Caenorhabditis elegans: one gene and its partners. The protein of the gene in region 2 purifies or fractionates together with the protein of the main gene of each other region. This does not show direct contact. Each region holds a gene or a part of one and is shown on either strand. Other genes may lie near its edges.

The links.
Region 1: the proteins of mrps-2 (region 2) and kin-1 fractionate together in Caenorhabditis elegans (co-fractionation; one large-scale study listed by BioGRID). This does not show direct contact.
Region 3: the proteins of mrps-2 (region 2) and her-1 fractionate together in Caenorhabditis elegans (co-fractionation; one large-scale study listed by BioGRID). This does not show direct contact.
Region 4: the proteins of mrps-2 (region 2) and rps-3 fractionate together in Caenorhabditis elegans (co-fractionation; one large-scale study listed by BioGRID). This does not show direct contact.

What each region holds. Positions count from the first base shown.
Region 1 is NC_003279.8:14,911,729-14,916,825, forward strand, and holds the start of kin-1 (cAMP-dependent protein kinase catalytic subunit), read left to right. Parts: upstream 1-2,037; 5' UTR 2,038-2,051; coding exon 2,052-2,261; intron 2,262-2,793; coding exon 2,794-2,961; intron 2,962-3,415; coding exon 3,416-3,581; intron 3,582-5,097. Other genes in the region: ptr-23 (SSD domain-containing protein), read left to right, coding at 53-169, 224-534, 583-725, 773-887, 935-1,044. UniProt on the Caenorhabditis elegans protein: Essential for larval development. Controls the rhythmic contraction of enteric muscles probably by regulating G-protein coupled receptor aex-2-mediated calcium influx in GABAergic DVB neurons.
Region 2 is NC_003283.11:8,463,751-8,467,796, reverse strand, and holds mrps-2 (Small ribosomal subunit protein uS2m), read right to left. Parts: upstream 2,112-4,046; coding exon 2,040-2,111; intron 1,996-2,039; coding exon 1,807-1,995; intron 1,610-1,806; coding exon 1,409-1,609; intron 1,330-1,408; exon of another isoform or gene 1,241-1,329; intron 1,104-1,240; coding exon 771-1,103; 3' UTR 638-770; downstream 1-637. Other genes in the region: mrpl-4 (Large ribosomal subunit protein uL4m), read right to left, coding at 1-532; natc-1 (Protein MAK10 homolog), read right to left, coding at 2,576-2,711, 2,757-2,879, 2,947-3,241, 3,332-3,550, 3,630-3,853, 3,904-4,046.
Region 3 is NC_003283.11:9,694,960-9,702,594, reverse strand, and holds her-1 (Protein her-1), read right to left. Parts: upstream 5,581-7,635; 5' UTR 5,467-5,580; coding exon 5,324-5,466; intron 5,275-5,323; coding exon 5,162-5,274; intron 1,826-5,161; exon of another isoform or gene 1,824-1,825; coding exon 1,666-1,823; intron 1,157-1,665; coding exon 1,043-1,156; 3' UTR 560-1,042; downstream 1-559. UniProt on the Caenorhabditis elegans protein: Dictates male development. Probably plays a direct role in cell signaling during C.elegans sex determination. Inhibits the function of tra-2a.
Region 4 is NC_003281.10:6,204,744-6,208,766, reverse strand, and holds rps-3 (Small ribosomal subunit protein uS3), read right to left. Parts: upstream 1,965-4,023; 5' UTR 1,943-1,964; coding exon 1,823-1,942; intron 1,775-1,822; coding exon 1,634-1,774; intron 1,589-1,633; coding exon 1,439-1,588; intron 1,340-1,438; coding exon 1,207-1,339; intron 1,037-1,206; coding exon 837-1,036; 3' UTR 802-836; downstream 1-801. Other genes in the region: RutC family protein C23G10.2, read right to left, coding at 19-176, 268-354, 454-536; sna-3 (NADAR domain-containing protein), read left to right, coding at 2,564-2,652, 2,701-2,939, 2,992-3,190, 3,237-3,387, 3,437-4,006.

The DNA of each region.
Region 1 (5,097 bases), on a different chromosome or scaffold from region 2:
GTGGGTTTCTGCAAAACTTTGATTTTTCTAAGTCTAATTTATAAATTGCCAGAGCTGAAGAACTGGACCGTTTCTTCTTCACTACCGGATATCACGGAGATAATCTGACAATTTGGACGCAGCGTGGAGAAATGCTTAGAGCTTGGAGACAAGTCGTGGACAAGTATCCGTAAGTTTTTTCTCTTACAATTAGCTTTACAACTGACACTTTTCTGAATTTTAGTGACTTTGGCGCGTCGGTGTTCCACGAGGATGGTGTCTATCTTGATCTCATCGACAATATGCCTACTGACACGTGGCAATCGATTCTCGGAACTCTCGTTTGCATGGCAATGGTGTGCTTTGTTTTCCTGAACAATTGGTTTACTGTAGCTATTGCCTCACTCTCCGTTTTGTCAATTTGTGCTGGAATTCTAGGATTTTTGTCATGGTGGAAAGTGGATTTAGATCCAATCACAATGGCTGCAATGATTATCTCCATTGGGTTCTCTGTCGATATTCCCGCTCACGTATCATATCATTACTATCAAGCTTGTTAGTTTTTTGTTATGATATATCCTGGAGAGTAATAGTTAATTTCAGCAATACAAGAAGGACCCATGTCTCCGCCATCATCTCGTCTTGCAAACTGTCTATCTTCTGTTGCATTCCCAGCATTGCAGGCAGCGTTGTCCACAATTTTGTGTGTCTGCAGTCTATTATTTGTTAACCTGTATATGGCAGAAGTGAGATTTTAGTATTCAAATTTTCAATCAAAACCACTCTTTTCAAGGTATTCGTGAAAACCATGGTGTTATGTGTAGTACTGTGCAATCTTCATGGTCTCGTGTTCTTACCTGCTATCTTGATTCTTTTGGATTCTATTCGATGGGCTTGTAGGCCTAAGGGTAAGAATTCACAAATGATTATTTTCTTGAGACAAAGAAAATTTAAGGTGCTGCTGCACAACGTCCAAAGCAGCCAAAAACCAATTCTCGCCAGAAACAGAAAAACGACAAAGTTCAGCCGGAAAAGAGTGTGGTCACTGATCGACCGGAAATCTAAAAAAAACCATTAATTATATTTCTTTTTAACTTCTCCACCTATTAATCTCATGACACAAACCTCTGTTCCATTTGAGTTTCCCGTTTCCTTCCAGTTTTCTGAAAATATTCGTCCCCACCAAAAAGTCCGGGTTTTTATAGTGTTGCCCAAGTTTTCATTTTTCGTGTTTTTTGTTTTTGTGTACATTTTGTGCTTTGCTGATCATACCTATTAGAAATTTTCAAAGTGAAGAATTGATTTTTTTCCGGTGATTTTCCGACATCTTCTTGAGTTTCATTTTGCCAAGCTAGAAATAAAAGCATTGAAAATATACTTGAAAACAAACGGAAAGGTTTTTAGATTTCAAACAATAAAAATAAAATCTAATATCATAGTGAATTTTCAAAAAATCTTGCAGTAAATATTGTAGCTGTTCCAGAAAATGTTGAAGCGTGCGTGTGCCTAAAGTGATACACTGGATTTACTATAAGGCTGCTGCAGCAAAAACAAGTCCCTGATGAAACTCAACTTCTTCCTTCCTTGAATTTTTATAAATAAAGTGCGTAATGCGTACTATCGTCATTCTTATGTAGCAAAAAGTAGCTATGAAACAACGTTTGAAAAATCTTGAAAAATCTGAAAATCTCAAACTAGTCATGCGTTCAAGTTTCTCTCGCGGTGCTCAAAAATTCATTGGGTAATAATACTCCGACATAAAAAACGAATTTTATGTTCTTCACCTGAATAGGACCAAAAGGGCTTTGTCATACTATTCTCCGTCCGTGGCCGTGTCCATTCTCAGTGTGTTCTTAAACAAACACTGAGAGTCGTGGAATGAAAGACACAGAGGGAGAGAGGGAGATGGCCGATCCTTTCTAAACGCGCACCTCCACACAGAGACACTCGCTCACAATACCGTTCTTCATCTTCGTTTATTTGTGTATGTTGTTCCCTTTCGCACCCTGAGTCTCACAAAAATATTGCACATACTAAACTACTAATCAGTTATTCCATTTATCCTTATCACGATGGACCCAAGCCCGTTGAAGAGAAGAAAAGTAGAGGATGGTGAAGATAGGATTTTGGCAAAATGCGAAAAAGCTGCTGACACTGTTGAAATTGTCGATCTATCGCCAATGCCATTACTAACTGACGAAGCTGGACCTTCAACCTCTACAAATGTTCAAGCATCACAATCACAGGAGCAATTACAACCACAGATGGATTTGAAACTTAGAGTGAGACTTTTATAACTACAGGTGGTGCTAGTTAATAAAAAGGCCTGTAAATTAAATTTTTCCTCGGATGTTTCTTGAATAAAATATAAAAAACTTGAAAGAAAATAATAAAAATCTAGGTCTAACAAACCATTATTTTTGATCGACGCTCATTTCTTTACGAAAATTGGTTATTGTTTGTAGTTTTATATTTCAATTTAATGTTCGGAACAATACAAATACATTTTAAGTAAAATGGAGTTCGATCGTAAACTAAAATTCTGCCAAAATCCGCGACCTTCATAATGCCGCAAAAATTGGAGCATTTGAGAACTTTTAAGTTTAAATTTTGCGTGTACCGCACACTCAGACCAGCCCACAAAAATGCCTGATTAGGGGTTATTGTTAGGTTAGGCGCAGCGAAGTAGGTTGCAAGTACTGGACGTTCTGTAGGTATGAAGGCATACATGAGCCTTTGTACCTGTATGAAATTGGAATTTAACAAGATTATATATTCAGTGAAATCTTCTTACCAATTCACCTACACTTCCAGGAACTCCTTCTTTCTTCACCAGCACATCTATTCGGGCTTCATACCATTCCCGCAAGTGGCTCAAACAGTCAGCAGCCAGACGACAACAACCCTCCACAGGCAGCTGTAACAAGTTGGGAAAACTGGTTATGCTTTTTGGCAACCAACTTATCACCAGCTCAGTGGCAGGTACTTTTTTCCAGATTTTTTTTTCAAAATAGAATCACCTCCCTTAGCGCATAGACGGCAATATTGGGAAAAACTACATTTTTCACAAATTTTTTTTTTTTGACTTTCCACGTGGCGAACAAAAGATAAATTCTAATTTCTAATAGTAAGTTTCACCGAATTTTGAACTTGTTTTAATTTAATTTAAATTCATTTCTGAATGTCATCGGTATCAAACGAAATGTAAGATTTTTCATCCAGTAATTTCAGCAATTATTTTTTTAAAGACATTTTTTTACTGGCGAAATGAGGAAAAACTTCTCAACCCTGATGGAAATAAAGTGTTCTGACAAAACAGAGACTATTGTTGTAACGTGCATTTTGAAGAAATTTATTGCGGGAAAAAATCTCTCAAAACTGCGCAACAATATAATTTTTTATTCCTTCTACCAAAAATAAAATGCAAGTATTTCAGGGCTACTGGCTTGCACATTGTGCATTATTTGGAGATCAAGCAGTTCCCGTTCATCTCCTCAGCTTCTTCCAAGGACACATCTCACCGTCGTCTTCTTCATCGCCAACATCCACGCAATATTTGACAATTGGACCACAACCAAATGACGAGATTCAGGAAAGATATGGTACGCTTTTTAAAAAGATTATTTGATGGGGGATAAGTATGAGAAAGAGTCATAAATAGGTAGGTTATTTTTTGAAAGTATTTATATTATCGTACAATTATCTGCGTATTATTGAACGCCAAATCATTCTGTAACTAGAGTTTGATCGCAATTCATCGAAGTTTTGCTTCAGAACTGTAATATTTCCTTTATTGACGCGAATATAGTTGGAAAATTTGCTAATACAGTCCTTGGTTTCTTTGGTTTCAGTTTGGTTCTATGATAAATATTAATATCTATCGTTTGTCGACTTCTTCCGCTGAGCGAGCATCTGGCAGAAGTAAGCTATGCAATCTCATTTTTGAACGTGCCGTTTTAGTTGTACAATCAATTCACTAGTATTCGAAATCGTGCATCCAACTTTATTATAAAGGGTTTTATCTACATAATATGGATGTAGGTACATTGTTATTTTTGCATTACATTTGAGCTTTTTTTTTGCTTACATTTGAGCATTTGGTTTATCCTGCTATCCTTTCGTGTTTACGCCATATTTTCAAGCTCCTCTCTTTCTTCTTCAGTCTATTTTGCAGAGTTCGGACTTTAAATGTGGGTACCTAAAGTTCATAGTATTATAATTTCCAACAACTCGAACTCCGAAATTCCTTTGCAAGTTCTGACAACTGACTCATTTAGCCTACAATTATAAAAGAGAGGGAGAAAGAGAAGCTGAAATATTTGTCTCCGTTTTTACTTCTTCTTTTTCTTCAATTTCACACCTTGTCTTGGCTGCCCGTGGCAACGTATTTACTCTCACTGCTTTTCATTTTTCTTCCATTTTATTCCTGTCAGGATTTCCCGCTCATAGTCAGTAGAAACATATGGTAGTTTCTATTACTGGTCAATTTTAATTGGTATAATTAATAATAAGTTTAACTCCCGCGCATGTGTATCACTGTTTTATTGGGAAATTGTCTAAATTTGAAAATCCAACAAATATGTTGGTTGGTTTCTAAAATTAAAATGTTTAAAACTCCTTTTACTTGATTTTTTTTTTCAGAAAAGTTGTTTTTTTTCTCTTTAAAAAATCTCCGTCTCTCACTATTTCTCTTATATTTCAAGCAGTCAACCTATGTCAAAATAAACTATCATTAGAGACACTGCTCCTGGAGAGTCACTACCACCACCACCTGCTCTTTTTATTTCTCTCTTGCTTTTCCACATAGGTATTACGAGGGCAACCGGGGGTTAAATAATCGAATCAATCATATGAAATTCCCATATTTGATTTTATTCATGGCCATAAATGGAATTTGTCTAAAAATCGATAAAGTGGATTTTTTATTATCTTATCAAAAAATTTAACCTCAAAACTTGTAGGTAGACACATTTTCTGGGTAACAATCAATTTTTTGTGACTGTAGACACAAGATAAAATAAGTCACCTAAAAAGATGTCAGTAGAAACCACAAGATGAGACATATACCCATAATTCCATCTTAAAAGTGACCCAATTCACGTGCAATTTTAATCACCT
Region 2 (4,046 bases):
CAACAATATGCAAATCGTCTTGTGTGTGCTTTAGAGTGAGAGCAACACAAAGTCCCTGAATTCTGACTGCGTCTGGAAGCATGTAGAACCACGTTCTCGGTCCACGAACACCATTTGCGAAACCTCCTCGAATAAATTGTGGGGAACGAATAGAACCAACGTGAGCCCGTCCAGTCTTCTTTTGAGGCCACGGCTTTCTACCCCCTCCGGGCATTTCAGCTTTTGTCAACATTTTCGTCATTTGCACATTTCGATATACACTTTGCCACGTGAGGTTACGGTGTAGAATATCGATACGCGGTGATGTTCTGAAAATGTCTGGATGGAGATCCACGAGTCCGAGCTTCTCATCTTCGATGGTATCCAAATTTGAAACCCAAGCTTGTGGAGTTTTGATGAATGGATTTTCTGGTTTTCGCCATAATTCTCTTCGTGTATCGATGGATTCGCCAGATGAAGTCGAGGAAACATCCTGAACAGCCGATGAGAATGCTCGACTTGAAATTAAAAAACGCAGCTGCCTGGAGAGCATCTGAAAAGGGATAAGGTGTATAAATAATTTTAAAAAACCAAAAAAAAAGAAAGATATGTTCTAACACTGTTCGTTTACAGTAGTGATTCAAAATTACGATTTGAAAGCAATATTTTGATTTTTTAAATAGGTAAACAACTGGATATTTAGAAAATGAAGAAACAATCAGAAAACAAGGAAAACAAAAGATCTAATCAAAAATTTTGAAATCTTGAAACTAAATACTAAAAATTAAAATTTATTTTCCTTGCTGCTGACGTTTTCGTTCTTCTTGTCCTTTTCGAACGGCTTCCTTGAACATTCTGAGCAAATATTCAGTGGATTGTGGTGTATCATCGTTTGCAGGAACCAAATATGTCAAGTAAGCCGGATCCGAATTCGAGTCAACTACTCCAATTGTGGGAATCGCCATTTTTGCGGCTTCAACGATGGCTGGATGGTTTTCGCCGAGTGATGTGAGGGTTGACAGGAAGCAGACAGCATCTGGAAGTCGAACTGAAGCTCCGAGAAGTTGTCGAGTGTTCGTTAGAGTTCCTGATTGCCACTTTCGAACGTGAGAGTATTGCCCAACCTGGAAAATAACACCTTTTCAAATTTTTTTTTGTAAAATTTTTTTGCTTGATTTTTAAAGATTACTGTTTAAAAGACATACATTTTTACAGTAACATTCACAACTAGAAAACAATGGTGAATATTTTCTGAATAAAAAAAAACAGCTCAGGATCGCAAATTCCGCAGAAACAAATAATCTCGCAAGATTATTAATTATCGGATCAAAGTATGTTCACATCACTGCTGTTATGAAAACTCGAACCATGAATCATTTTCCAATAGATTGGTGTTCTCACCCCTACACCACCATGCACACTGTCTCACCTCATCTGCTGCCTTCTCAACATCAAACATGGTGTCTCGATTGGAAGTGACAAAAAGAATCATTCCACCGCGCAATGACACATGAGCAACGAAATTTAGAGCTCTGACGAGATATTTTTTGGTAATATCGAGGTCGAAGAGGCAAACTCCAAGACGTTCACCGTACAGGGCCCACTTCATATTGTTGTTTACTGTTCCGACCTAAAAAAAATTATATTAGTTGTTAATTCAACTTCTCAAGCTTAAAATAAATTTTAAAAAATGCGAAAAAATCCCGAAGTTTTTTTCGTAATTTTCCAGTGCAATTTTCGAAGAAAAGAAAATTGGGAAATCGACTTTTAAACGTATTTCATTCATTTTTTTTAACAGTTAGAACCGCCTTTCTTTAAATAGACTACCTTATGTCCGTAGTGAAGTCTTGCTTTAAACATCTCATCGATATGGACCATTTTTTCAAAATTAAATAAATCTTCATGTTGAAGTGACGCGGAAACGAATGGCTTCAACACTGTTGGCTGGACTGTTCCTTTTTCAAGAGTTGCACGATCCGGAACAGACGACGATGATGAAGTAGATGCAACTGGTTTCTGGAAACAAAGAATTCTAAATTATATTTTTGGTAAATGGTTACCTGCTGCGACGCGGAAAATCGTGTCGAGAAGGCTCTTTCTGTACGGATTGCAGCTGCTACAACTCGTCTCATCTGGAAATTCGTGTTGAAAGAAAACATGGTAAGTAACTAGTAAGTTAGAAAATAAGTAATAATCAATTTGGATACAGAAACCAAAGAATCGATAATTCAAAGATATTTTGCAAACTGAAAACAAACAAGTTCATAGAAGCATAAAATTTGATTTGAAATGTATTTCGATATCTCTGAGAACAATGTGAATGTACTGTACCAACCGAGAAAATTCGTGTGCTATGAAAGGAAAGAAGACGGGGAGGCGGGGTTCACTAGTCTGAATTACTCAATCAATAAAATATGAAAACAAAAATCGAAATATGAATAATTATTTAGCTGATTATATAAAATACATGAAAGAAAAACACGGGGGACTTATGGCATTCTATTGAGATGATTCTTGAATATTTCTGAATCTACTGATGGATTGTGACTGTTGGAGAGATCGCAGCAATAATTGGCAAACAAGAGTAGAGTTGTCATCACTTTTTGCTAATTTTTAGACATGGAAACATTGGAATCTCTTCTGAAAACGACCAAACGACATTTCTGTCCGTCAAATCAAGTTTCAGAACTCTGCAAGCAATAATGTTCGATTTCGCCACGTGGATCAATTGCCTGGAAATAAGAAGATTTTTAAACGACCAAACAGCATCAACCAACATCATTTCGCGATTTTGCTCCACAGAGTTATCGATTTTTTCGAGATGTTCACGTGCTTCATTGAAACTTTTCTGAGCTTGATCGATCAGTGTCTCAATCTTGTCTTCATACATTTGGTCAATTCTGAAATGCGAATAATTATTTGTATACCCATAAAATGACATTTTTTAAAAACGCAGTAAACGCTTACCCCGAATCACTTTTAAAACGTTCGTAATCCACACGAACTGGAGGCCCAAGTGAGTCGAATGGTTCGAATCGTCTTTCGAATCTTAGTTTTTCAGCATCATCTCCACCCTTCGGCATCTTGATGATTCCTTTACGAATCAGAACAACTGTCAGTCTCACAACTCCATCAGAAATCATTGAAATTGCGATTTGATTGAGAACACTGAATTGATGAGCAGCGACACGACGTTTCAACTCTTCTCCAAGTTTACATCTCTCTTCCCACAGTTTTTTGTTTTTAGTCTCTCTCAGTGGATCTGGAAAGTGCATAACAGAAAACGGCTTCATGTCTTTGTTCAATAAATTTTTTGAACCCTAACTGTAACAATTTGATGGTTTTCACTAACTTGCTTGATAAACGTTCAGCTGAATTTCTTGACTCCGTTCCAAAGTTGTTCTCATCCAATGTGCTTGAACTGAACCAATAAACCAGTAAATGTATGGGAACTCGTAAGGAACGTAAAGGTCCATTCGAAATCCAAGTTCGAAATAATGGTTAATGATTGCAAGAAGATTGTGAAACACAAATGTAGCCACTGAGTGATATGAGTAGTTCTGCTCTTTTGCTGCAATGATTTATTTGTGGAATTACTGGGAATTTAGAATAATTTTTAACATAATTTTTTTAATTTTAAATTATCTTACCAGTAACCATTTTTCCGCTAAGCAATACTTCATCAGTTCGCTCTTCCAGTCGTCCAGCATATGAATGGATTTGACCAAGATCTTCAATGGCCATCTCAAGACGATCTCTTTGACGGGATAAATTGCATCCAAAACTACCATAGACGGTGATTGCGAGTTTTGACATGTGATTCAAAAATAACACATATAGACTTTGAGCAGTTTGATCTTTGTAAACAGGAGATCTGAAATAATGAGATAAGTTCGTGATGTATTCTTGTTGAGAAGTACTCACACTCTATCAAGAATTTGTGGGCAGAAGCAGTTGCTCAGTGAGTATTCAACGGCGTCAGCAATTGATCGATTCTCATCACCACACAGATGGTTGTCGACTGGGAACATGCAAATTTGAAGAAGAGATCTGGTGAAGACGCATGC
Region 3 (7,635 bases), 1.2 Mb from region 2:
TCTATGGCTTGAACATTGAAAATTGCTTTTAAGAACATCGGCATTTCTTGAGTTAATTGTTTTCTTAACTTTATTCTTATATTGTATTCTAAACTTAAGTTAGCAGAATCCATACTTCAAACTCGGATCACGCCTGAACAGTTTTGGTAACTTGTGTTGATTTACAAAAAATCTAAACTTATATAGTTTGAATTCCACCAAGTACAAGTTTATGATGAAACCCAACACATGTGTTAACACATAAAATTTAAAAAAAAACCTTAATGGCCATTTTATCAATTTCGAATGAATTGATTGATTTTTCCTTGCTAGCTCTAAAGCATTATTCAGTTTAAAATAACAAGCAGAATATGAGAAACAACATTACATTTAGTTTATTAATCTTTCAAAACGGATAAGAAATAAAGTTTTGCTCGTTTTGCAGTTTGAATAACTAAAATTACAAATAAAATTTAGAATTTGTTAGAAAGCAGAGAATTGAAAAAAAATTGATAAAATTTGTAGTTCGAAAATCACTTTCTTATCATTTTTTGTTGATTATGTCGTATGGGTTCTGTGCGTTGATAAAACAATTTATTCAATAAAAAAGATCGTAGAAAGTACTTGAATATTCATATTTGACAACTTTAGGAGAAACCAACAAGAGAAGATATATTTTTTATGAAAAAAAAAATAAATAAAATCAGGACCGCACCGTAGTGCGCCTTCATGACATCTGAGCGCATCCGAAAACATTCTTGAAGAGAATGTTAAGAAGAAATCAATAAGAATAGGACATTTCAAAAAATTCTATTAAAAATATATACAACAATATGACAAGTTGCGTATCGAAAATTTTCTTCAACATAAGGAGAACACAAGATTAAAAATATAACTCAAAGTGAGTAAAGCTCAAAGCTTTGATTAAGAGGTAGACATAGAGGTGTTACAAAAAATAAAATAAAAAGGTTTAGAAAGAAAAGAAAAAATTGGACCACTCATGATGGAGAGTGCCATAATGACAACGGCGGATTAGGGATGTTTTAGGCTAATGAGCCCAGATTCAGACTCCTCGGAAAGTTCGCTTTTGGATAAACGTTGCATTGCAGTATTCTTCGAATTGGAGCACTTCAATTTTGATACCATCTTTACGGAGGCTCCGGCATTTCTCAAAACACTGAAAAATAAATTTGTTTTATGACACACTTGATTAACTCGAATTGAACGATTAGAATATCGAATGAGATATCTTTGAAAAACGTGGTTCCTGGACTGACGCACTGCTCCAAAAATGTATCTCAACCTAGGCGAACAATTTTTGGGGTGATATCTATCCACTATCGGATTTTCCGCTTGCCAATTGAATTTTTTTTTTAATTTTCTCCGTTTTAGGATGAATTTTATAGACGAGGGAATGGATGGGACGAACTCCAAAATTGTTTGCCTGGACCAAGAAAAAGTCTGCAAATCGCAGCCGTTTTTACAGAGTTGGAGATAATTTAATATTTTTAAACTTGGCTTTGGTCAACTAGGGATCCTTTCTTTAAAACTGGAAAAATTAGGACTACGTACTGAAATAGGCAGGAGCTGAAAAAACCATAAGACAGATTGCACCGAATATTTTCAATTTACCCGTTTGTCTAACTAGAATAGGCGAACTGAAATTCTGTGTTAACAAAAACTCACTTTATACAGTACATTATCCAGAAGCGAGCAACTTTTGATGCTGTCCAGACGTGTGGCAGCGTCGATGGAAGGGCTGGTCATGAGGTTCTTGCAACGATTCTCACATCTTCTTCCAGAATCGTTTTGGTCGTTGCCAAACACGGAGCAGCACACGGAGTCTGAATAAAGACAATATGAGATTAGGGCGTGGGATGGGCAAATGGGCGGGGCAATCAGAGAGGCGGAGTCAAAAGAGACAGGTGTTGGCATGTTTTACGTGTGAAGAGGCAAATAATAGATCGATAATTAAGACAATTTGTCCCTCAAAAATAACGATTTCTTTTGGGAAAGTCTCTTCTGGGAAATCGTAAAATTATAGCAATTCTGTGAGTCAAATGCATTTGTAAGTTTTTCTATAAACCTCATATTATCAATAAAATTAGTGAATATTCACAACTTTACAGAAAGTAGAAATTTCTCGAATTTCAGATTTTCAAATTAATTTATATTAAGACAATTTCTGCTCAGGGGAACGCACCTAAATAAACCAATTAAGTTCTGTACTTTTTGGATTTAATCACGCGTGCATTTAGTTTAGTAAGATTACTGTATTTTCTCTAATAGTATTGCACCACATTATTTTAATTGAAAGCTTTATATCTCACTATCAACTCATTTTAAAGATATCAATAAATTTTAACTGCAAGCAATTGAAAAAGAAATAATAGTTTCTCAATTGGCAATATTTGAATAGAACAAACGCTAACTAAAATATAAGCTGGTAAAATTGAACAATAAGGTCTAATACAATAACGGGGAATACGGTATACATTATTTGAGCACTGATATCTACCTTCATTATGAAGTTTCACTTTATCAGCTATTCGAGAAAAATTTGAAAACCTCAGATGTAGCTGAAGCTATGATATTTGTAGTCTCAAAAAACATTGTTCCCGTCAAAACAGCTATGTTTGCTCTACGCAATCTAGTTTCTCCTGGATGGACCTAATCGACGCGTTTTTCATCTCATTTGATCTACCACTCTCTTACATTATATCTCGTCTACGGTATCTCTCATTTACCGTAGTCTCTCATTTCCCATATACTCTTTTGTTGCAACTCGACACACATGACGGTATTGCGGACTCTTTTATGACGACTGTAGATCGTAATTCCTATACCGTATGGCAGATCTAATAAGATGAAGGACCAAGCACACCTGGATTGGGAGGTGTAATGAGGAATAGAAAAGCAAACTGTACAGGGGTGAGAACAAGAAAATACTTATTCAATATTTATTAGCTGATGCCGTGCATTCTGATATATTTGTAAATAAAACAGATTGCTCCCGGCGGCACTTAAATATTTTCTTTCTAACGAAAAATGCAAGATGTCAAAAGAAAAAAAGCAACTGCTCTGCTCCTGTAGGACAATTGTTGCAGGGGAGTCTCCCATCTAATCAATACACCTAACAAAAGAGTGAGTCAACTGATAAAAGGATAAACATGCAAAGATATGGTATCAGTGCTCGCAGTAGAACACTCTTTTATCTTGGAGAGATAACACGAGAAAGATCAAAACAAATTATGAACATTATCAGAGAATTCAAAGACATTGTTATCATAATTTTTATGTTTTCATAAATCTATTAAATGATCAAATGAGTAGGCGAAATTAATTTTTTTTTAACATTGTAGAGAACAAGTATTGAAAAATATTAGAGCCAAATTCAATACTGTAAAGTTTTTTTTTGGCCATGAATATCTCAAAAACAAATAAAGAAGCCTATTTTAAAACTTATGTTAAAACGTAGCCCTAATAGAATTCTGAACGAAAAACGTAACTTTTTGAGGCTAAAAAATATATTTCTAAATAGTTTGAGGGTTTGAAGAATATCTACTCTCGAAACATGATGACAGGTGGTACGCAAGACACAAGGGTCCGTCTATTCTCCCTGCGCAATACCAATTGCCTGCACAACCCTAGGACAATTGAACGGACCACCTAGAACAAGTTGCAACTTTAGAGTTGAATATCTCAAAAACTGAGCCTGAAACATAATCAAAAAGTTTTTCTAACAAATAGAGCATGTCAAATTCTTTTAGAAAACTTGGTTGTTACATTACCAAAAATTTTTTGTAGATGCTTTAGGTGTTGTCAAAGTGATCCCTATTTAGTTGAACAAGGTTCCAATGTTATTGAGGGAAATATTACAATTCGAAATGGAAGAGGAAACTATTTACAGGAAATCAAACATTATTATAGATATGAGAAAATGTTTAAATGCTAGTTGATAAGTGTTATCAATAACTGGAAATGTAGTATGTTGAAGTGAAATCAAATCAGGAAACTATAGAGAGCTTAAGTTGCTTCAAAGACACGGTATCCTTGACATTTATCACAAATTTACTGATATCAGTAAGCTTCAAATTGTTAAAAGCCTGACCGACTTTGAATATATCGATCGAGCGTATGGTGGCGACTGCCCAATGCCCGAAGCCTTGTACCTCTCTGCGCACACATACGCACTATCTTCCTCCTCTTACCATTGTCTACGTCATCGTACTGCATTTTTTCTAATTTCTAAAATATCGAAAAATGTTTGAACAATTTTTTTACTATATGATAACATCTCGTTCTGCTGTAACTCGGATTATGGAAATGCCCAACATTTGCTTTCGAACTTAGCGGTGAAACTTCAATTTCCAGTTTAATTTCACATTGGCAGAAACTTTGTTTCAAAATTGGTAAAGTATTCGTTTTATAATTTAAAGTGAAAAAATAATAGCCCTTATGAATTATTCGAATAATCATTCTATCATAGTTATAATTGATTTCAGCAAGAGAGAGCGCGAACATTCTAAATTGGGGTTAGTTTGAAGACGTTTTACGTGTTATTAAATAATTTTTCAAATGATAATAAATACTCAGAAACAAAGACTTTAATTTTATCTTTGTTTTGGTATACTTTTTAGTATAGGTTGCAGGCTCAGTTTTTGTGATATAACTCCTCAAATTCAGATATTCTTGAAGTCTTGGGCGCTTTCTTCAAATATTTCTCCCATACATTGCATGCCATTTTTAAATTTCAAATAGTTAAAGATAAGTAGTAATAATAATCTTACTCATGAAAAATTTCAAACGCTCTCTCTTTACTTACGTTCTAACTATTATTTTGAAATCAGAGAAGCCTCTGATGATTTACTTTGATTTTTTTCAAAACAATTTGAGGCAAGAATATTAAAAAAAAAATGTTCAAAATTATTGAAAATTTCCAAAGAGTATACGAATGAAAGAGGCAGAAAAGATATTGTGACTTTTCAATGCGTGTGGTCTTTCTGCCTCCGGCCAATCAATGACCTCACGGGCGGGCGCTATGCCACCGGTTTCTCGATTTTCCTCAAGTTAAAACTAACTTGTACATACCGTATTAGTCATTTCCTATATTTCTTAAGAATAAACAAAACTTGATATCTTGGCTTGTGAGGAGAATTTTACCTGAAAAAAAAACGCTCACCATCCAAGTTAATCTTTTTCTTTGGTTCTTTTGCAAACAACACATTTTGAAGACATTTGTAGACATATCCGGGTAGCTTCGGATCCCTGTCATAACCACATCGAATTGGGGTTCTAAATTATACCGATTATCGCATTGTTCGTGCTCGTAAAAGCGGTTCACCCAAATTTCATAATTTCAATGCAACATTCTTGACGGTTTCTTGTACAGCATTTCTCAGCTGCATCTTTGATAAGTTCCTTTGTTAATGTAGTTTCCGTATAGCCAAATGATCCGAGAAACACAAAAATTGGGAGATATCTCATAATGCAACGTAAGGAAAGGGAGGAGATTTACTACTGTAGGTGGACAAGATGCGCTGAGAAAATAGAAGCAGAAGGTAGGAGGAATATGAGCAAGAGACGACTGGTGGGTTCAGTCAGGAGATAGGCATCCCTGCAGTGTCATTTGGTTGAATGATGGATATAGAACCTGAAGAGACTTAGATACTCAAAGAAAGTTAGACAAAGAAGGTACATACAGTGCTCATGTATGCTCCTAAGATATAATCTACTCTCAGAAGCTGAAGAACTGGTCCGTTGTTTCTGCTTAATATATAAGAAACTAGGCAAAACTATACTAGAAACTAATTAGTTCATGTTTGAAACATATCTGCTCGTCAGTGACGTCACTCTCAACAATCTCATTAAATCCTGTAAATACAACTCCATTTTTTAAAAGATATGAAAAAATGTATAATTTAAGTGTTGATTTCACAGAATATGATTATTTCTTTGAAAATATTGAATTGATTGAGAGCACCTCTCAATCTTAAATTATGTTTTTTAGAAGAAACTTTCATAAAACCCCAGTAAATGTTTCGAAGAGCCCCTCGCCGAACAATTTCCAATTAATAGATATCTTTATTTTCGATCACTATGTTCCAATTTTGTGCCTTGTCAACTTTACTTTCATATCTATTTTCAAGGTTGAGGATTAATGCCGTAGATGATTGATACAATAGTTTTACAAAATAAAGTTTATCAAATTATACTTTATCGAGCATACTGTAACCGTTCTATATGTTCCAATTGACTTCATTTCGTTTCAAACATGGTATGTTCCACCTTTGACGGTAATTGATATGATAAGGATTGCCAAATTTGCGAATATCCTGCATAACAATTTGTTAATTGTCAGATTGAACTACCAAAATACTCATGAGACAAGAGATCAAAAGAGCAAGATTGTAGTAATGATAGAACGAATAACAAAATAATCTTCTTCAGTTTTAATGTTCCTTTAAGGTTCAGATTGAATACTCTTTAGTAACTCTTTAGAGTAATATCTCTTAATAACTCTTAGAACTCTTTAGAATAACTCTTTAAAGTATTGTTCTATATCATTTTAAGAAATGAGTTGTATTCTATGGCAGAAACGTACCGAATCGTGAATTGGTTCACTTTACTTTTTTAGGTCTATCTAAGATTATCAATTTACTTAAATTTGACTATTTATTCGTCTATACTTTTCAGCTGAAAGTTTCAGATCAGAAACTGATTGAACATGCAAAGATCTGTCAAAGAAAACAATGTATTAAATTAATTTACAGTTTCAAAACATATTTTTATCAAATTGATATTTCATTTTTTAGTCAAATACAATTCCTTTATCTTACTTCGTTGTCTTCCTATCTTCTCACAACTTACCTCATTCTAGACAACACTCGATATCCCGAAGGGCCATTATATTGCCTGTCTCACAGTAACTGAGTGTCTGCAATTGTGAGCAAATGCTATTGCATGTGCGTGATTCACTAAAATAGCATAGGAGATTGAGTGACTTAGAGATCGAATGCGCGGGAAAGAAGATCAAACGAGTAGGCGGTGTGGACAGATGACGTGGGTCTACAAGTGTAGCTACAACCGAGCACAATAAAGGCAATTCAGGGAAAATAAGGATATATAATGGTGTTGAGCTCCGTTGATGCAAATATATATTGCTACATTGAATTTTATTTTCCTGGCCCAAAAATAACTATCTGTTCATCAATATAATTAAGAATTGGAATCAAAAATTACTTGGAAAAAATATATTTAGTGTTTGAAATTTCACGATGACTATGTAGTAATGAAAATGAGAAACTTGTTAATTTTTCAGATACAATGGAAAATAATAGTAAGAAAAAATATTGCAACTGTGAATTAGATACATTCAACATATTTTTTAATCAAATTTATTACGAATTTGCGAACTAGAAATTCTCACGTTTCAAAAATTTTCAATAGAGTAATCTCAAAGAGTCATGCGCCTTTAAAACCAAGTAATACAAGCAAACTCATTTCTCTGAATGTTTTGCCATTTTGATTTGATTTTTTTAAATGTTGTAATTTCTTGATATCCAATATTTCAATTCAAATATTCAACTGCAAGGTTTTCATTTCTAGAAATATCTATTCAAATTATGTCTCCATCAGTACCTGAAAGTTCAAATC
Region 4 (4,023 bases), on a different chromosome or scaffold from region 2:
TTTTATTTTAAATCTCACCGTTTCCATAATCAGCTCCAGCTGCCTTAAGAACTTCTCCGAGATTTTTGAGACTTTGATGAGTTTGCTCAACGACGCCCTCCTTCAAATCTCCAGTTTTTGGATCCAAGCCAAGAGATCCGGAAAGGTAGATGGTATTTCCGGCACGAACGGCTTGACTGAAATTTTTTAATATTATATGAATACTTTTGTTGATTGCTTATTTTCAGAGGAATGTTGTGGTAGAAAATAATATAATTTCTTGAATACCTGTATGGTCCGATAGCTCCTGGAGCATTTGCGGAGCTGATGATTTGACGGGTCACTTTTTGAGCCATGTCGAGCACTTTGGTTCTCCTGAACAGTTGTATTAGTCAGTTTTCTTTAGAAATAAGATTGAAAATAAATGAAAAAGTTGACAAAATGCCTCCACCACCACATTTTCTACCAACTAACTTGACCGCATCTTGCTCTGAAGTCTCCTCTGCGCCTGTTTCAGACCGTTTAAGCGCATTTGCAACTGGTGGAAGCATCGGCATTGTTAGAACGGCAAGAAGAACCGAAAAAGAGAAGACGTACATTTTTGAAGGGGTTAAAAGTTGCAAAGAGGAGAAATGAAATGAAACGAAATGAAGAGAAGCGCGACGATATGAGACACCGAGGTCACCCTTATCACCGGCGTGTCGCGTTTATGTAATTGGGGGTTCTGCAACGAAACAGTTTCCTAGACTCCTCCCTTTCGATTTTTGAAAGTACGTTGATTGTAAACTTTAAATATCATTACACTGAAAATAACGAGTAACAATTAACCAACAATTTATTGGGTATGTAACAACAGTTTATTGAACTGGAGCAACTGGTTGAGCTGCTGGGACTTGAACATCCTTCTTCTCCTCCTTGTGCTGGCTGTGTGGTTCCTTTGGAAGGACTTCCTCTTGTGGCTCGACGATTTGGACGTGGTCTGGGAGGGCGTTTCTTGGTCCGTTCTGTCCGCGTGGGTCGTATGGAAGCATGATCTTGACCTTGATACCGATGACTCCTGAAAATAAAAAAATGAAGATGGAAACTTACAAAATAGTAATACAAATTTTTAAACTTGATTTTTAAAATTAAAAAACTGAAAAGCAACATCTAAACTTTTCGAACGACATGTTTTTTGCGATCAAAAATCCTTTCTTAACCAAATCTTCCCCGTAAAAAATCACTGACCCTGACGGAGTTGAACGTGTCTGACGGCTTGTTGGATGTAGTCGTTGACTGGGTGTCCAGAGTGAATCATGAGTCCATCAACGAACTTCATGGCCTTAGCACGCTGTCCACGAAGCTTTCCAGAGACGATAACCTATAATTTTTAATGAATACAAATTCCATATAATACAAGTTTCGAATATTAGATGCAATAAAGTTAAATTTTTTGTCTATTAAAATAAAGTAATCATACCTCAACTCCTTGAGCTCCAGACTCCATGATGAAACGGAGAACTCCGTAGCAAGCACGACGGACGGCAAGACCTCCGACGAGCTTGTATCTGAGGGATTCGCACTGAGCGACAGCGCAGAGTCCTCTGTTGGAAACCTTCTCGGCGTAGAGCTAAAAAGTTAAATGTATTTTATTTTTCAATAAATGTATTTTTACCTCGACGGATCCCTCCTCGAATCCGAATCTCTTTTGGACAACCGAGGTGAGCTCCTTAATTCTGCGTCCTCGCTCTCCCAAAACGTTTTGGGTGCGGGTCGCCATGATGATGACCTCAGCTCTGGCTGGGGTACTGCGAACCTGCAAAACTTGAAGCTTAAATGCTATATTTTTGATTAATAATTTTACCTCGACTCCGGAGTATCCATCCTCAGCAAGCTCCTTCATCAGGAAGTTGTTAAGCTCAGCCTTGAAGATTCCGCCGATGACGGCCTTCTTCTTCTTGGTCACGTTTTGATTGGCAGCCATGTTGCCCACTGTTTGACGAAAGCTGAAAATTTGAATATTAATATTAGCGAAGATATTGATAGAAAAGAGTTATAATCCGAACAAAACACAAGAAATATATTTGAAAAAAAAGTATTTTGGGCAAGGTTTTTGTTAAGAAAACCCTAAATTACGTAACTAAAAACTACATTAATATAAAAACATGTTTTAATACAAAATATACATTGAAACATGTGAATTTTTTCAATTTTTATACAAAACATGTTAAAAATCCAGTTTCACGCGAAAAATTCAAAAATTTCAGGCAAAAATCGAAAAGAAATTTAGTTGCTTTCAACGTTTATCGTTGAAGCGTTGAATACTCAGTCAACGGCCAGGCCAATTGGCTGCGTACGTCACCGCAAGACCATGAGACCGAAAAATGGCATGCGCCTTTAATTGCCTCTTTTTTACCCTAGTCACCGAACGAATTTTTTGAATAATTTCTTCGAAGTTGAACAGTTTTCTTTATTTTTACCAGTTTTTTAATTCTGAACATCTCATTTTCTTTTGAAGTTTGCACTAGTTGTTTGAACTGCTTTGCCTGGTGATTAATCAACTATTTATTGATTTCTTTCTCAATTCCGTTTTTAAGGATCAAACATGGATGAAGAGAAAATTGTGTTAATTGGAAATGAATCAGATCTCCTACACTGTGGATACAATTTTGCACTTAGAGCTGGCGGAAAAAGGTGAGAACTGAAGTGACTTATAGATTGCAACAATGATTAAACTTGCAGATATCCCAGTGCCGCTCACTACACTCATTATCAAATTCTTATGTCTTTAAATCTACCCGAAACGGCAGTTGAAGAACTTTTATGTACGAACAGTTGCGATGTTCACCAAAAAGCGCTTGTTATTCTCCAAGAAAATATGCCAGACGGCCATACAATAAATTCATTGGCAGCATATCTCTCAGAAAGTCTTCGTTCATATTCAATTCATGCACTGCAACTCCGAGCAGAAAGTGATAAAGGTGAGCTTTTATAAGTAAGAAATAGAATCTAATATGCTTGAAAAACATGCAGACTTCGAAAAGACTCTTATGAAGACCAATGAAGCCCTCTTGATTGTCTGTGATGAGAAAAACCCTCAACTTGGTATAGGAATGAACGATAAAACGTTCATGGAGTGGATGGCCAAAGAAAAGGCAGATTCGAGACAAATATCCTACTGGATGAAAAATGAGCACACTAAACCAGCTGATTTGGGTCAAAATAAACTAGGGCAAGAAATATGAGAAACGAGATTTTCTTAAACATTAAAAATTTAGACAATATTTAATGTGGCTGAGGTTTGAGATTCGAGAAAGGAAGAAGCAAGGGATATTGACACGTCCTGTAGTGGAAGTAGCCGGATTATCGACTGATAAAGATGATGAACCAATTATGATTTCAATTAATGATCTTGTAATAAGTTTGGAGGTAAGCATTCAATCATCATGATTTTTTTAAACTATCATCATAATTTCAGGGTATATTCCGACCACTTTCAAACTATTACGCGTTTCCGTTTGAAATGAAACGAGAAAGATATCGATCTGTAGAGCATTACGCATATGAGAAGCTTTTTAATTCGCTGAAACTTGACGAGAAAGCAATTGAGAAAATTCAAACAACACCTGCTCCTCTGAACGTCCCTGTCGTTGCATCTAAACTACTGAGAAAGTTGGAAATAAATCCTGAAACGATAGCTGAAAAAACTTCAAAGATGGATCGTTGGCGTCAATCTGCAATGAAGCATAAGATTTACCACAATGAGTATCTCCAACAACTTCTACTTTCAACTGGATCAGCTATTCTCATTGATTCTTCTCTTGGTGACCCTCTATGGACATGTGGAGCAACTGAAGTTGAGCTGCAGCACCTTCTCACAAAATCGTACGTGACGCCGGAAAAATTAGTGGGATGGATGTTGGATGGAGAGGAGACTAATACACCAAAAAGCGTCCGTCATTTGTACGGAAACAAGTCAGGATTATTACTCATGGAGCTCAGAGAAAAGCTTTCACTACAAACAACAAGTAGAATACCTTTAGTTAAGGTTAGTTCTAGACTAAA